Drosophila melanogaster: one gene and its partners. Changing the gene in region 3 together with the main gene of any one other region gives a genetic interaction. Each region holds a gene or a part of one and is shown on either strand. Other genes may lie near its edges. The genes, in order: Coop, hng2, hng1 and hng3.

Region 1 (4,571 bases), about 14 Mb from region 3:
ACGAGGCGGGCGGTGGCAACGGAAGTGGTAATGGAAATGGTGCCGGGATCGTATCGGGCACCGCTAACAGTAATGGTAGCTGCTCACCGCATAGCAGCAATGGTCACAGCAATGGGGATTTGTCTGCCCTGGAGAAGGATACCATCGCCAGTCCTCGAAAACCCGCCTCTAAGAGCTATTCTATTATGACCGGGAGTCAGGCGGTAGGTAATCCTTCCGGGGGGAACCGAAAGCGATGCTCATCCGCATCTCTGCCCCTGGAGGACGAGGACAACAACGTCGAGGAAGAACCCAGCCTGTCCACAGTGTAAACGACATCTCTATCACAATCACCATCATCATTATCATAACCGAGCGCAGGCGCTTTCGATTCGGTTGGGCCAGGCGATGTATTTGCAGGGCGCTTCATTACCATTACCACTCACTATAAATATGCATACTGTACGTGTAGTATATACCATATGTCTAAACATATATATTCCAGATTCTTAAATCGACATCTCTCATAACCCGTAAAGAATTTCTCTATTGTTAAGTGTGCGATTCGTCTATTTGTTACATGTGCGTGTGGATTCCGGAACCAAGTACTTATCGCTTATATATACAATATATTTTCGCTCAATCCTTGAGTTTCGTTGAATGTCAATAAATGTAATATGTATATCTGTAAAGTCAATTCTATTGTTTTGTCGATATTTGACCAAATGTTTTAAAACCTCCAATAATTTAATGAATTTCAATTCTCAATTTACGAAAGTAATGTATGATCAGAAAAGATAAATATATATGTACATCGAAAGCTTTGTAGACTCACAGGTAAGATTCGCTACAAATCAGATACTAATATTACATAAAAGTACATCTTAGATATCTTAGATGAGCATGATTTATTTTATTTGGTTCAAAACAAAGTATGCATCATATTATTAATTTATTCGGCCTAGTATTTTCCCCTTTAAAAGCCTTTGTTTACATATAGAAGAAACAATATTTAAACGAAAATTAACCAAATTTTATCAAATATGCATTAGTTTAATCGCTACTTAAAAGACAAGCTGACGGATTTCAAATAACCATCTTAACGAAAGATCAATCGTACTCCGTATTCCCTAAAAGTTAACCGGATCGGAAACAAAGAACCGGTCCGTATAAATATACATACATATCTCGTATACATAGATACTTAGGTATGTCTGTATCTTTTCCCCAGTTTTCTTTGCAAGGCGTTCTTGAAAATGGCCAATTACGGTGTTGGATTCCCATTTATTGGCCGCATGTCTGTCCACGTACATTGTGCATACGAATGTGTGTGTGTGTTTTTCGCACTGTGGGTAGAAAGACGAGTATAAATTGCGGCGAGGATCAAATGTCAGGCTGAAACCCAACCGCAAAGCTACAGAAGATCTGATAAATAACCCCGGTCGCCACTTGTCATGTCTGCTTCACTTGCATTTTCGCAGTCCCAAGAAGAGGAGACTCAACCCGAAACGTGCAAGCATACACGTATAAACATTAATATGTACGTGTGTACACATATACAGACAACGGATACAGTCTTCGGTTCCAGGCTCACGATCGTTCCAGCTGGAGCTTTTGTTCCCACACACCCTCGTCTGTATATAGAAATGTACATATGTATGTGCGCTGTGGCGGTGGCTCCACTGGCGTGGCGTGAATTTTGTACGTTCCCTCCAGCTCCATTTCCAAGCGACCCAGCCAGCCGACCGTAGTAAAATCCAGTTTTGATAAAAATAAACAAAGTACACTACACCGCTCTCTATACGCTACACTATGAATTTCCAGTCTCTGCGGCTGGGTCACCTGGAAAAGGATCTCCTTTCGCGTAACGGGAGGGTGGGCCATAGAGCTCTATGTAAAGACTTTTACCGCTAAAGCGCGTGACATGTCCGCTCAAGTCGCTGTACGGGTGGAATTCTATTGCAATAGCCGTTTTCGGTGCAGAGCATATTAGATTCGTTACGGTGGGCTCACAATGGCGAAGTTAACAACCGTAAAAAGCGCAAATACGACACAGAGTTGCGGCCAGCGCAGCGGAAGCTTAACATCCGGATAATATTGCCAGGCAGCTCAGTTGTTGTTCTGCCGCCTCGCCTGCGCCTGCTTCTTCTTCTTCTGCTTCTCCTGCTTCTTCTTCCTCTTCTTGGGTCTTCTGTTCGTGGCAAAGCCTGTTGCTCAAGCCTCTCTCCTCCTTCCCGATCCCGCAGCTCCGCCTTCGCCTTTGCCTGTGCCGTCGCAACCAGCTCCGTCCGCTCTTTCCACAATTCTCTCTCGGCACCGCCAAAAGGCACGTAAACTGGTTGTTGCTGGCTGGGCCGTACACTTCGTGGTGCCCGTATTTTTCGTATTTTCAGTGCTGCCTGAACGCTTGAGCTGCGCGAGTCGCTTGCCGGGAAACTCGGAGTTGGAATCGGAACTGGATCTGGCTAACTAGCTATCGGGCTATCGGAAATTGGCCACTCGGATCTGGACATGGAGATGGCCTACAATGCGTCATCGTCGGCGGCCTCCGTCGGCTCTGCTTCTGCCGCCGCCTCTGCCACCGCCTCCTTCGCCTTCACCAACACCGCCAAGCTGCCCATCGAAACGGTGAAGCGCCTGATTGCCGCCGTCTCACGACGTCCGATGTTGTGGCTGCGCAACAATGCCAATGGCCAGAAGCGCAGCGACATCACGCCTGTTTGGTTCGAGGTGGGTCAGGATGTGAATTTGCCAGGTGAGTGTATGGCTGACTATTTCTCCTCTGCGCTTTCCGCTAAAATGACTCCCCCCTTTCACAGCCGACATCTGCCGAATTAAGTGGGGCCACCTGAGGGACAACTTTCGCAAGGTGTACATCCGCAATAACCTGTCCAATGAGACGCCCTCGTCGTGGCGCTTCTACAACGATATGCGGTTCATGGAGCCCGCCGTTCACGAGAATATCATGCGTCAGACGCGAAGCAGCAGCAAGAAGCACCCACCCGGACACTGGACGGAGAACAATAATGTGCTGGGGCCGGACAAGTATGACTCAATGCCCATTGTTGCTACGGAGCCCATATGCGAGCTCAGCCACAGCTATGACTCGGAGCTACACCAGCCCAGCTTCTCGGACATCAGTTCGTTCTTCGAGGATCGCGACTGCCAGCCGCCGGAGAATAAGAGATTTAAGTCGGAGCCCAGTCAGAGGGAGGAGGACGAGGAGGATGACGATGACTTCGACGAAGATGCCGCCTCGGAGAACTTGGAAGAGGAACGCGGCAATCGTGCCGATGCTGCCAGTTCCGGTGTATTCACCATAGAAGTGCTCGATGACGACGACGAAATGGAGCAGGCGGTGACCAAGACCAAGGCGAATAACACTAGCCACGGCGGATCCAGCCTGAAGAGCGAGCAGGAGGCCAAGGTGTTCTCCAATTCGCAGTCACCCACCGCCGATCTGCCATTCAAGTATATCAGCACGGATGTGGCCACGAATACGGATCCCTCTGGTGGAGATCTCCAGGACGAGGCGGATCGCATGTTCCTGCTCAGTCTGATGCCCTTCCTGCAAAGATTGGACAGCCGCCGGCGTCTGCGCGTGCGCCAGAAATTACAGAACGTGCTCATCGAGGAACTGGAGTTTGGCTGAGGACGCGTATATCCGGGGGAATGTGGGGAGATTTACTTTATAAGCCTAGCTTACAGTATTATAAGAACGCGACTGACTAACTCTGTGAATCTGCCTACATACGTAGCATGTAATCAGTATTCCGGCCTGCTTTCCTTCATACCAACACACTTCAATACATACCATATTGCATTACAATACATATTTACACTTCAAATAGACGATCACGCCAGCATGATTACTTGTTTCTTCCTCAGGATAACCGCTCACTTTTACCTGTATCTGCGCTCCGGTGCACCTGCGCCTTTTACCTGCGCACCCCGCCCGCAGTTCGAGTTCCCAATTATCCACGGTCACTGTTGCAATTGCATTTTTCCAGCCACGGGCGGCTCAAAATTTCTGTCAGTGCAAAACAAGTTCTTTAAGGGTGGTGCACGCGGCAACAACAACAACCACAAGGTGATTCCCTCCGCATTTTCGCGCCACATGCGCCGTTAATGCTAATGTACCGCGCTCTCGCTCGCTCTCTCCGCTCACCAATCACAATGCGCTCCGGATGGGCGAAACTTGGTCGAGCCTAGGCAACTTGATAATTCCCTTTTGGTGTGTTGTGTTTTTTGCCTGAAAACATCTCCCCATGTTTTAAAAATGATTCAAAGCTTTCGTTGAATAATGGCGGGCTTAACAGTTCTGCGATTTGCTTAATAGGGTCCAATTGGATGGAGTTTAACTTTCAAAAACTTTCGCTAAACAGAAAGCTCATCTTCTAATGAGTAGAGTCTGAAATTTAGACGCAGAATCCATAAAAATTCTTAGTGGTTCATGCATTGTTGTTAAAATGTTGAATGCTGTTTTGTCTTTTCGGAACTCATTTGGAATTCCAAAATTTAAGGTGAAACACTATTTAATTTTAATTTAAAATTCCTTTTAATTTCAGCAGTATGATTCCCCTCTGATTTGT
Region 2 (4,025 bases), on a different chromosome or scaffold from region 3:
AAAATACTTAAAAAAGAAAATACGATAAAGTTTTCAGTGCATTTCCATTCAGCAGATGCAGGTAGTCGGAATCGAGGAACTAAGGGACCTTTTAATAGGGTAGAACAGCTGCCAGAGCCGTTGCTAATAGATGAAGTGGAGGGTAGGGTCCCGAACGCGGGCAGAAATTTCCGAAACCCGAAACAACCACTAACAAAAACCATATGCAGTTAAGTGGGAAATGGAATGGGGCGATCCCGAGGAGAACGGCATCATCAGGACGTTACGAGTACCATTTGTCGGGTGAATTGTGGGGGCGGGTATTCGGGGTAACGATATCGTCGTACCCCCCATAGATGGTACTCAGGGAATTCCCAGCAGTGTGGAACGCTTGAAAGCCGACACCGCATCCAAATCTCTGTGTTACCCCTATGGGTTCCTTAACGGTTTTCAGCGATTTCTTTTTAGGGGTGTCGTCTGGAGTGTCGACTTATAAATACGCTCGTACAATCCATAAATGTGCCTTTGTGTTGAACAAAAACCATGAAGAAATCGGTATACATAATGAAAACTCGATTGGCATAAGAGGTACAAGCTGTATGAATACAGGTTTCAACTCTTTTTTGTATCAACATCAGCCGAAACTGGTCAAACGGCTTTGGAACATGGGCCATCCGATGGCTTATGTATCGTTTTGACAGTTTATGTTTATACTAAAATTTCGCTGCAGGCGATAAATATGTATTGAGACAGCATCCGGCCCAAGAAAGTAGTGGCTAGGGGGATGAATAACAGAACATGGGATTTATGTAAAAATATCAATTACACATGTGGACAATTTGCTTGCATACATAGTTAATATACATATGAGCATATATATTCATATGAAATTCCATACAAATCCATGTTGTATGAAATTGATATTGAAACCCACGTATAAAAATATATTGCCGTCGTTAGATAATTTATGGTTTAAAACAAAATAAAATGCATATTTTTTATACATTATTTAATGTTGTTTTTAATGTTTTTTTCATTGTCTTAAATAACTCTACAACTATTGTATTATTATCAAAAATTACAAAAGTAAGCGTATAATATATACATTGCGCAAAACACAGAAGTTACTATGAGAAAACTATTTGACGCATTATTAAGAACTAAAAAAAATAATTGAATCATTGGTTGCATTAAAGTTTAACCCCTGGTTTGTGAATATTATTGTTTGTATATTAAATTACAAATTACAGTTCATTATTTAAATTTCGCGCCCTAAAGATTAGACGATTTACGATAACGATTAAATGTATTCTTATTGCTTATGTTAACTTGCTGTTAAACGAATTTTGCCCTTCTTGTAAATGCATTTGTAAATGATTTGACTTCTGTAGTGAATATTCAATTCGGCTTGAAGTTTCGTAGGATTTTCAGGACCTCGATCTGAAAGTCAAGCTTGCGATCGGCGCACATCTGCTGCATGTGAGGCTTAATGGTGTCGAAGAAGGCCTGATCAGGATCGGCGGACAAGTAGGCGGTATTTGTACTGCAGGGTGGATCTGATGGTAACTGTGGAATATATGCGATTTCCGGAGTGGCGGTGTCCTCCTTGGCGCAGCCCAGATCTCCCAGAACCGTATTTATGTTGCTTGGTATGGCTGGATTGCGGATGGCAGGCTCAATATTCGATTCTTGGTCGGAGTTTCTCTTTCGTGGAGTCTTTGCAGATCTCTGTGCGGCAGTGCTCACTCGCTTCCGTTTGGCCTGGGGCTTGGGTTGCTCCTTCAAGGATTCTACATCGTCCTCCGACTCTGCTTTCACGTTCAGCAGGAAACTCAGTTCCTTTTCGTAGATGTAGGAAGCTCTGGCCACCTCCTCGCCACTTTGACGTAGTCGGTTGACCCGTAGGTAGCTGTCCCTCGTGTTTTTCCAACGTTTGAGCAGTGTTTTAACTGGAATTGGAAGTTATGTATGATATAGACTCAAAAAGGTAGCCACCACCTACCTATTTCCTGCTTCTCCGGCTCGCTGGAGTCGTCAAAATTCGAGCAAAGCTCGTGGCCAATTTGCTGCCAGGCCTCATCTCTGAGTTCGCGGTTATGGAAGTTTGGGTGGCTTCGTTCCCATATAATAGAACGTTTGTGTACCGCGTCAATGAACTCGTACATCGAATAGCGCAAATTGCTTCCTGCCGATCGAAGAACTTTATGATTGCCCATTATTTATTGTTTATTTAAGGGTTGGATTGGATTGACAATATGTTGCTTGCGTTTAACAGCACCACGGGCAGCTGCTTAACAGCACTCCCCGCAGAGTTGCCACCTCGCCCCGCATTTAAACTAAAAACGTTCTGATGTTATGAAAATACAAATTTCAATTTTGTGTTTTATTATTAAACATATACAGATAGGTCAGTGGATTATTGTTGCTGTTGTTCTTGCTTCGAAGCGTGCGAAATGCGAAGGTATGACCGAGTAATACGTGTACGTGTTAAATTAGGAGAGAAATGCAAGTGAGTTTTGATGATTAGGGTGTAGTGTTCTCTGGATTTCTGAATGATTCTATTTACATGGGCCTGCCCATTCCGCGGCCCATTCCCATGCCACCGCCGGCCATCGGGGGTTCTCCGGCCTTGGGACTCTTTATTGTCTCATCGACGGAAAGGATCATGCAGGCTGCCTCGGCGGCCGCCGTCAGTGCATTGATCTTAATGATGGACGGCTCCCAGACGCACTGCTCATAGTTGTCCGAAATGTCTTCCTTGTTGATGTCGACGCCGTACCACTGTCCTCCTGTAAAAAGGTAAATGTATAAAATTATAATAATTATTAATTAGAGTTCAAAATTACACGACCGATTTGAATTCGCCAACGATTTTTGCAGGTAACATTTCGTTCAGGTGGCAACGCCGCTTACAGCCCGCGCAATAAACGAATTGAGAAGGTGCGAAAGAGCACAACATACAGCACATGTGACTCGAGTGAGAGAGGACGAGTGACAGTGAGGTCGAAGAAAAACACGCGTTGCTGCGGCTAAAATTTCCTCTGTATTTACATTATTTGGAAGAGAAAACGCAGCCAAACGAAATGTCCAGCTCCGGAAGAAAGCGCAAGCAGCAACTTAAGCCGCGTCAGGACGATCACCGGTCGCCGGTGAAGCGACGCAGTGTGGACATCAAGTCGGAACCCTTGGACGGCTATCCGGCGCTAGCAGACTACGATTTAAGTACGGCCGATATCAAGCCGGATCTCACTGAACTCCAATTGCAGCTGGTGGCGGAGCAGCAGGCGGCCAGCAACACCATTCGCTTGGAATTGGAACAGCAAGAGAGTGATTCCGACGAGGATGGCTACTCAGAGCTCGATTACCAAGCTGAAGATGTCTTCTGTCAGGGTAAGAAGGGTGCTCCTCCCGTCATTTCAAGACCCCACTTATAAAATTATCCTTTTTAAACCCAGACGATATGGATGACTACGATCCAGATTGGTCCAGCCAGCAGACGGGTTCCCGACTGCTCTTCAAATTTCCCATCCAGCAGAGTGGCCTGAAATTCGGACAACGCTTCCAGGGACCACAGCACTACTTCAACCAAGTGCTGGGAAATCGCTCCAAGTTCTTCAGTTCCCTGGCCCAAAGCTGCAACCTAAAGGGAGGAGAGCTCAAGTCCAATCCCACAACTGCCGAAGAAATGGAAATCTTTATGGCGCTTTCCCTGCTTATGTGTGACCTGAAGCTGGAGCACCTATCGGATTACTGGAGCACTAACATGTTTTACGGTCTCGTCGGATTCTCTGGGAAGATTCCTCTGGAACGGTATCAGCAGCTGCTGCACTGCCTTAACTTTGATGCACCGCAGCTACAAGCGGGCAGAGCCAAAGTGAAGAACTCTCTACTGCTAGACTTTATCAACGAGCGTATGGAAGAGATATACATTTGTGGCCAGCAACTGGTGCTCAATGAACCTATCACTCTGTGGAAGGGTGCATTAAGATACCAGGATGAACTTCCAAACAAATTCCGCACCAACGCACTACTGCTGCATATGCTAA
Region 3 (3,841 bases):
AGTTTTGATATTTTTTTGGTCAACTTCTTTTTATTTTGTAACTCTGTGAACAGCGTAAAAATATTTGATGTTAGAGCAGAAATCTTATTTTTAACTGTTTGAAAATTAATAATAACTATTTAATATCTATGCATTTTAAAACTAAAAACATCAATTTCAGTAAGCAATATCTTATAAGTTTCGTTGAACAGTGTAGTAATATTTTTAGTATTTTTTTCTAGAGCATTGTGGTTTTTTAAACCCTTCAGCGAGGGTTACATTAATATTAAATACTAAAATTTAGACCAAAGTTTAGTTGCTTCAGTTTATTTATTTATCTAAATCCCACATATTTTCATAGCATGGACGACTTAAATCCGCTGGCGGGCACGGCTCACCTCCTGGAAGAGGTTGACAGTGAGTAAATCCGAATGAAAGGAAGGCCAGTCGTTGAAAACCGGCGCATTGCAGAGAAACTGATGGTACTTTTGAGAGACGGACGGACTCTGATTGGATACCTGCGGTCCGTGGACCAGTTCGCCAACCTGGTGCTGCAACGCACCATCGAGCGGATACATGTGGGCAACGAATACGGCGACATTCCTCGCGGAGTCTTCATCATTCGCGGGGAGAATGTGGTGCTACTGGGCGAAATAGTAAGCTTTACTCGATACTTTTTCAATATGACTGATTAACACCCTTTAAATATGCGTAAAAGGACCGTGAAAAGGAGCAGAAACTGCCACTCAAAGAGATATCCGTCGATGAAATCCTGGACGCCCAGCGTAGGGAACAGGAGCAGCGGCAGGAGAAACACCGCCTAGTATCCAAGGCACTAAAGGAACGAGGCCTGGCCGTAGATGCCAACATAATCAACGAGGACTTCTGCTAAGACTCCATTTTTTCCTAAGCACAAAGTTAGATTAAGCTCAAAAGATTTTCGTCTCTTTGTATATTTGTACTGCATTAAAAAACTATGTTAAAACCTATGTACATATTGCATGCAACCTGCTTAGCCTGATCCGCCCGCACCCGACCCCTTTCCGCACTCCTCGAGCAGTATGTACTTCTCTAGAATCTGGTACATCTCCACCTTGGCCTTGATCTTGTGCACGCGCGACAGTTGGCGCAAATACGCGGCAATCGACTTGCAAAAGAAGTCGTCCTCTGTTTCGCAAGTCTTTTGGGTGATGACGGCCGTGGGATTGGGTAATTCTGGGGCGGAATGCTCTCGCTCCTGATTCGCATTGGGCGGCATACAGACCAAGTAGTTCAGATCCGCGTGGTTAGACTCAATAGGCTCAGGTGCGGACGTCGCATTCGGAGCAGCGATTTCCGGATGAATTGTGACCACCTTGACCTTTTGCTCGCACTCCGCATCCCCCAGGAACTCATCGAAGCTCTCCTGTTCGGGCTCCTGCCCATCGTCCGCCTCCACGACCACCGAATACGTCTCCGATTGTGTGGTATGAGACTCCAGCTTAGCGTCGTAGTCGTGTTGCTCCTCGCCCTCATCGTAGGCGTGCGAACCTTGCTCCTCGATCAAGGTCTCTGTGTCAATAGGCAGGCGGGTACGACGCCGTCGCTGTAAATCAACCTTCATCCACCCGGTTGGCTTTTGTTCCCGATCCCGTTCGCGTCCTCTGCGCTCGCGTCTCTTGCGCACAAAGTCCCGCAGGAAGTCCATCTTCCGAAAGAAGTCATTGTGACCAAACTCGCCGGACGGATGCAGGCGCTTCTGCTTAAGCTCCCGCGAATAGCGATCCCGCAGACACGTCCACCGTCGCCGAGCGTCTGAGATGGAGATGTTTAGCAAATCCGCCACTTTTGCCCAGTCCTCCTCTTTGCGCTGCGACAGCCGAAAGGAGGGCAGCTGGGGATCGTACAGCGACGGCGTCTCGCGGATGGTTTGTATTAGGAGGATATCCGAATCGTCCAGAGGACGGTGGTTTGAGCTCATTTTAATTTGTTTAATATATGTTTAATATTGACCAGTGTTGCCAGATGTATTGTCATCGACACAATGCTAAAAAGATCGACACCGCCGATAGCGATTATTTTTAAAAGGTAGTACATTTAAGAAGATTTGATTTCATTTAAATTTATTTAAGGTCATTTTTATTTTGTTGTCATTATTTTTTTATATGAAACTTTTGGATTCCATAATGAAAATTCTATTTCGTTTTATTTTTTATAAATATTTGGAAAATTTTTTAATACCGAAACGTTATGCACCACATACGGTCACACTGCCATTAACAGCACAATTTCCAGAAATGCCTTGAAAATGTCAACTTTACAGGTCTGGCAACGCTTCAGGCTTTAGGGCAGCCATTTTTTTCACGCTTTGTAAAAAGTTTTTTTAAAAGCCGTGGAAACCGCAGAAAGGTCGAGAAAATTGTTTTTCGCCAGTTTTAAACGATTGTGTTGACCAACCAAAGTATGCAAAACTAAATATTGTGTGTGCGTGCCGTGAGTGAACCAAGCAATTGAACATGGAAACCGTGGTTGCCTTCAACAATGAGGTAAGCTATAGATGCATTAGAAACGAGGTTCGTTATGGAGCAGCCGGCGTGGTTGCACAATGTCCGCTTGAAGTCGGTATTCGGATTGTCCAATGTGCGGGAGGTATACAGATCCTGCTGGAGGCGCAGGCAGAGCACCGAACAGCACCGCTCAGGGTTGCTTTTTGGCCAGCACCCGATAACGATAACTCCATGTCCCAGATATCCGTAAACTATAGCCGTACTGTAACATCTATATTTCTCCTTAGCTCTCCGGACTCTATGACAGCCGACCGCCCATTTCCAAAGCGAAGATGGCCGCCATCACCAAGTCGGCGATGCGGGCCATCAAGCTGTATAAGCACGTCGTCCAGAGTGTGGAGAAGTTCATCTTGAAGTGCAAGCCGGAGTACAAAGTACCCGGGCTGTATGTAATCGACTCGATAGTGCGCCAGTCGCGCCACCAGTACGGTATGGACAAGGATCTGTTCGCGCCCCGATTCCAGCGTAATCTCACGGAGACCTTTGCCAACTTGTTCCGGTGCGCTCCGGAGGACAAGAGTCGCATCATCCGGGTACTGAACCTGTGGCAGAAAAACAACGTCTTCAAGTCCGAGGTCATTCAGCCGATCTTCGACCTGGCCGACCCAAACCACCCAATCTACCACCAGATGCCTCCGGTGGGTGGCAGTGGAGGACAGGGCGGCGGCGTGGGTCCAGGACCCAGCAGCAGCGGTGCTCTTAGCCTGGCGGACATATCGAGCGGTCCGAACGGTCTAAACAGCTCCGGAATGGAGATAAGCATGAACAGCTCCGGGGGCGACGATAAGATGGGCGGTGCCATGCCCGACTTGTCGGTAAGTGATGCTTTCGGTTGAGGCTTCTACAGGTGTCTAGTATTGGATAATGGCTTAACTAACATCGTCTACAATTCTGCTGCATTTACATTTCTCTGTCTCTCATGTCTTGCCCACTAACCGCCCATTTTGCCCTTCGCCCAATCGCTAGCTGGGCCATGAGAAGTTCGGCGGTGGCAGCAGCAGCTCCAAGCGTCACTACTCGGAGCAACACTATTCCAAACGACAGTCGGTGGTCTCGTGCTCGTCGAAGACCAGCAAGTCGCATCATCACAAACGGGAATATGTCAAGAGCTCGCACGACATTGACTACCAGGTGCGGGAGATCATCGAGGAAGAAGATGAAGGCCTGCAGATGCTGATGGCAGATGATCACCACTGTATGGGCGACGACTCACCGCCCACTTCTTCAAACCTGTTAGACGTATGGCGAACCCCATTAACACATCTCTTCATTTAGATAGTTTTGTTTATCTTAAGTTTCTATTTGTTGCTTTTGTT
Region 4 (4,364 bases), on a different chromosome or scaffold from region 3:
CCAGTCTACCAGTTTTCAAGCCAGCCGAACCCAGACATATGGCCGAGATAAGCGGCATAATTATGCAAATTTGTTATAACAATCAGCGGCACCACAGCAACAACAACTGCAATTCCAAGACGACGGCCACATTTTATGGGCAGCGTTAAACGCCGTCAACAGCAATTGCAATTGCCATTTATGGGGCGTTAGAATCTAAGTTAGTACATAATCGCTTGAGATAGTTTTTTATTTATTTGCCTATATTTAATAACCATACCCGCCATCTCAAGACTTGGCTCTACCATCGATAAGATCCCCTAGGAATCATCGAACAAAGCCTTCATAAATCGCCTTGGGCCGGCCCATAAAAATCTTGGAAACTACGTTTGGAAATTTGAATACAAACATTGACAATTGACAGAGTCCGTCGACGACATTGGGCAGCAACAAATCAATTGCAGCAGCAGCAACATTCTCGTGCATATGGTAGGATACAGTTAGAAAAAATTCTTGCTTCTCACAGAATATCTCAAATGTTCGATACCTCTGATAAGCCACTTCATTACTACTTAAGCAAAAGGTAACTTTTGTGTGGTGCTTGCAACTGCATTTGCAACAGCATTTGCAACATTCGAAGCCATTCTTTCTGCGAGTGCCTTTGGTATTAAGATTCCTTAGTGGCTAGGCTCGATCATTGTTTTCCATTCTCCATTCTGGCTGGTGACTACGCATGCATAAATGCCTTTATAATCATTTCGTTGAACAAAATTTAGACGTCACTTGGCTGTCAGTTGGGGCTTGATCGCCTGACGAGACGGACATGTGGAAGACTTTGCAGGAGCAGCCACGTCGGGGATCGGAGGTCGAGCTGGGGATCGGAGGAGAGCCAGGGCACCAGATCATGTCCATATTTGCATTTTTGAAATGACACATGGAAATTTTCGATGTTTTGCCTTTTGAAAGCGAGCGGCCAACAGATTGACAGCAGCTGCAACTGATGACAACAGCAACATGAGACAAACATAACAGCATAGCAGCAGCAGCAACAATGGCCTGGAATGGCAAGCGAAAGTCGTGCGCAAATCCGACCAGGGGACAGCATATGGATATGCTGCTCCATGTGCTATATATGCTATATGGATATAGACGGAGATAATTGCTGTCGCATATTTTCCACGTCCACTTGTTGTCGCCGACTTAGCTGCAGCAACATGTGTTGCTCTCGGCTTTTGGCCGGCTGCCTTTTTGGGCTACGGCGATGGCAACATGTTGCAACCGTCCAACCGTCGAGCGTCCGGCTGTGCAAATATTTGGAACTTCCCCCGGTGGGAAGATACTTGGCGGGCCTATCATCATGGCCAGCACATGTGCGCCATATAGCAAGGGTTTTCACGCATTTCGGCCCACTGTGCGAGCGCAAGTTGAATATCTGGCCAAGCAGCAGCGGCAACAACAACAGCAACATCAGCCATAACAACACGCGAGAATAAAACGCAAATAATATGTGTGTATATTGCAAAAGGCGAGTGAAAAACGTTCCAGAGAGATTTTATAATTGATGGGTGTATGCACTTTCCAAATGCTCTTTAAATAGCAAAAATCGGGTAACGAGTCCCTTTCCTACAATCAAGTGATAAAAAATAAATAGAAATTGAATGGTAAATAAGGAACTATATTTTTATTATCCAACTTTTACCTATATTGGAAATTGTGTGGAAATTTTAAAATCTCGAACGGAAAACACGTGCAGCAAACAGACGGTAAGCACGGCGTTGAGCACACAGCACCTTTCTCCGCGTTCTCTGAGAGACTTCCAGTCGAGAGCGAAACCAAAACTTATGGGGCTATTTTGAGAGAAAGCGCTCTCTGCTCTCTGCGCCAGGGAAGTTTAGCACCGCATTTTGCTCAGTTCGCCAATAAAGACGCTGCAACATGGACATGCACAGGCTGATCTTCGAGGTGCAGCAGCGCCGGGCTCTCTGGGACGCGAGGCATCCGGACCACGCCAACCGACCGGAGACCCAGCGCCTCTGGAACGCCGTCGCGGAGGCCACCGGAATGGATGGTGAGTGCACTGAGCGAAATCGGGATCAATATTCGGGTCAACACAAAAATCCAATTGGAACTAATTAAAATTATGATAATTTTAGATTAATTAGAAAATTGTTAATGCGAAGTACTAGTATTATTTTTTAGTATTTTATGGTTTTTTCAAATTAATTATTACATTAGTATTAAACTTTTTTCGGTGTACTTTGTAATGAGTGCTTTGTTTACATTCTCTTTTCTTAATCGCGTATACCACGCTCTGACATTTCAGTTGAGCTTTGCCGAACCAAATGGAAAAATCTGCGTTGTAGTTATCGCCGAAGTAACCGGCGTAGTGGGATCTTGAAGCATCAGCAGTCGCCCTCGCCGGGTCACCAGTGGTCATATGCGGAGGCCATGAGCTTCCTGGACGGCCAAAGGGAGGAATGTGATAACAGCAACAACGGGGAGGAGGAGATGGAGAGTGCACTCAAGATTGAAGCCGAGCATATGCCCATGTTGTCGACCTTTAAGAGCGAGCAAGTCTCAGCTGCGGATGAAATGGAGGCGGACAACGATGCGCTGATGCGCGAATTCCAGAACGTGTCCACTCCCCAGGCGTTGCGAAGGCTCTCCGAGAACATCTCCCTGGCCAGTGCGGCGGCGGAGGAGCAGGTGCCTTCCACTGCCGACCAATTGAGTCCGAATTTGAATCAGGGAAGTGCCATTGCTGCCGCAGCAGCCAGCAGTTGCCATTGCGCGAAGAGGGTGGACGAACAGGTCAACTTCCTGGAGAGTCTGGAACGCGAGGAGCAGCAGCTGATGCAGTCCACCAGCCAGGATCTGGCCAGGTGCAAGAGTGTCCTCCATGTGGGCGACTCCGACTACAACTACCTGATCAGCTTTCTGCCGCTGATGAAGCAAATGACGCCCTTCCAGAATGTCTTCTTCAGGGCCAAGATGGGGGAGCTACTGCTGCAGACAATGCAACAGCCGCCGGTGCAGCAGCAACCGCAGCAACAGCAGCAACTGCAACTGCAACTGCAACAGCAACCTGAGCAACGACAGCAGCAGCAGCAGCCCTCGCAAATGTTGTTGAACCAACAGCAAATGGCCTTGGATCAGGCGCAAGTGAGCACAAGCTCCACGAATTGGAACTGAATCGAGGATTGCAGCCGAGCAAAATAAGATATACAATGCCCCCCTTAATGTTAAGTGTGCGAACTGGACAAGAGCGCGAGCACCACTGTGCGCAGGTTCAGTGCACAGTGGTTCGATTTGGCTGAGATTACTTTTGAATTTTATCATTGCACATAATAAAAGCTATATATAATTTTAAGTCTTCAAATTGAGGGTCTTATTTGCTTGATGTTTAGCAAACTTAAACATGTTTAACAAACTGCAAACTATTACCAGGGCTGCCGGAATTTAACTTAGAAGCTAAAAAGGCTAAATTTAAATCTAATCCTTTATTGATTACCAGGGCTGAAAACTCTTTGTTATTTTTCTTCTAAGTTGGCTGTTTTTTTAATGCCACACTATTGGAACGACATTTGTTAAATGAAGTCAAAGCGACCAATAATCTTGACGATTAAGTAAGAATACATTCGAAGTTGGCGTGGAGCTACCAAAATAAGTACAGCTAATTCAGTTTTGTGTGCTTTCCAATCCAAGGCAAACATTATCAAAAAATGGCCAAGAAGATTTTGTCAGCGTCATCCAAACTAAACATCGACCAGAATTATCCATCCGGGTTTATAAAGCAAATGGTAATAAATCCGGTTATGAGCGCCATGACAATCCAGGATGAGGAGGCCAAGATGCAGAAGTTGAAAGAGATTCTTCAGATGCTAGAAGCGGTGAATAATAAATTGATGAGTCAGCTGCCTATCGACGTTCTTATAAAGATGTTGTAAATTATTAAATACAGCGATGTGATGGTATTCACATACGATAACTGCTCTTGAAGTTTCAATTGGGTGTCGCCCAGTATCCATCCGGAATGCCATGCGATGCATGGCACACTATTTTAGTACGATTATTGGGCCCTCTGCCTGCGCGTTCAATGCACTGCATTCTGCTCTGCCCCGCTCCCAGCTTCAGCAGAGTAAGCCCAAGATGATAGTGACAATCGTGTGGGCGTCCGAGTGGATTCTACGGCTTCAACTTCAGCTTTTTAGCCTTACAGCCAGCTGCAGATGCAAGGGCATCCGACGTAATCTCGCCTCCGGCTGCCCACACATGTCCGCATTGAAGCGGCGAAACGTGAAAGGAAGGGGCAGGGGGAATGGGGAATGGGGAATGAGGGGAACCAGAGATCGCCCCGTCGCCTCAATAAATTACTGCACACTAGA

Evidence for each region.
Region 1: of hng1 (region 3) and Coop, changing one enhances a phenotype caused by changing the other (phenotypic enhancement), as found in Drosophila melanogaster (one study listed by BioGRID).
Region 2: of hng1 (region 3) and hng2, changing one enhances a phenotype caused by changing the other (phenotypic enhancement), as found in Drosophila melanogaster (one study listed by BioGRID).
Region 4: of hng1 (region 3) and hng3, changing one enhances a phenotype caused by changing the other (phenotypic enhancement), as found in Drosophila melanogaster (one study listed by BioGRID).

What each region holds. Positions count from the first base shown.
Region 1 is NT_033778.4:7,490,109-7,494,679, reverse strand, and holds Coop (corepressor of pangolin), read left to right. Parts: upstream 1-2,090; 5' UTR 2,091-2,490; coding exon 2,491-2,734; intron 2,735-2,798; coding exon 2,799-3,631; 3' UTR 3,632-3,844; downstream 3,845-4,571. Other genes in the region: CG1620 (uncharacterized protein), read left to right, coding at 1-311.
Region 2 is NT_033777.3:8,804,536-8,808,560, reverse strand, and holds hng2 (hinge2), read right to left. Parts: upstream 2,240-4,025; 5' UTR 2,196-2,239; coding exon 1,982-2,195; intron 1,929-1,981; coding exon 1,378-1,928; 3' UTR 980-1,377; downstream 1-979. Other genes in the region: CG9839 (uncharacterized protein), read left to right, coding at 3,063-3,369, 3,435-4,025; CCT7 (chaperonin containing TCP1 subunit 7), read right to left, coding at 2,542-2,768.
Region 3 is NT_033778.4:21,167,095-21,170,935, reverse strand, and holds hng1 (hinge1), read right to left. Parts: upstream 2,007-3,841; 5' UTR 1,940-2,006; coding exon 992-1,939; 3' UTR 926-991; downstream 1-925. Other genes in the region: LSm1 (uncharacterized protein), read left to right, coding at 342-396, 451-635, 698-871; Isha (insulator su(Hw) mRNA adaptor), read left to right, coding at 2,475-2,504, 2,753-3,340, 3,492-3,764.
Region 4 is NT_037436.4:736,671-741,034, reverse strand, and holds hng3 (hinge3), read left to right. Parts: upstream 1-1,685; 5' UTR 1,686-1,914; coding exon 1,915-2,047; intron 2,048-2,302; coding exon 2,303-3,171; 3' UTR 3,172-3,355; downstream 3,356-4,364.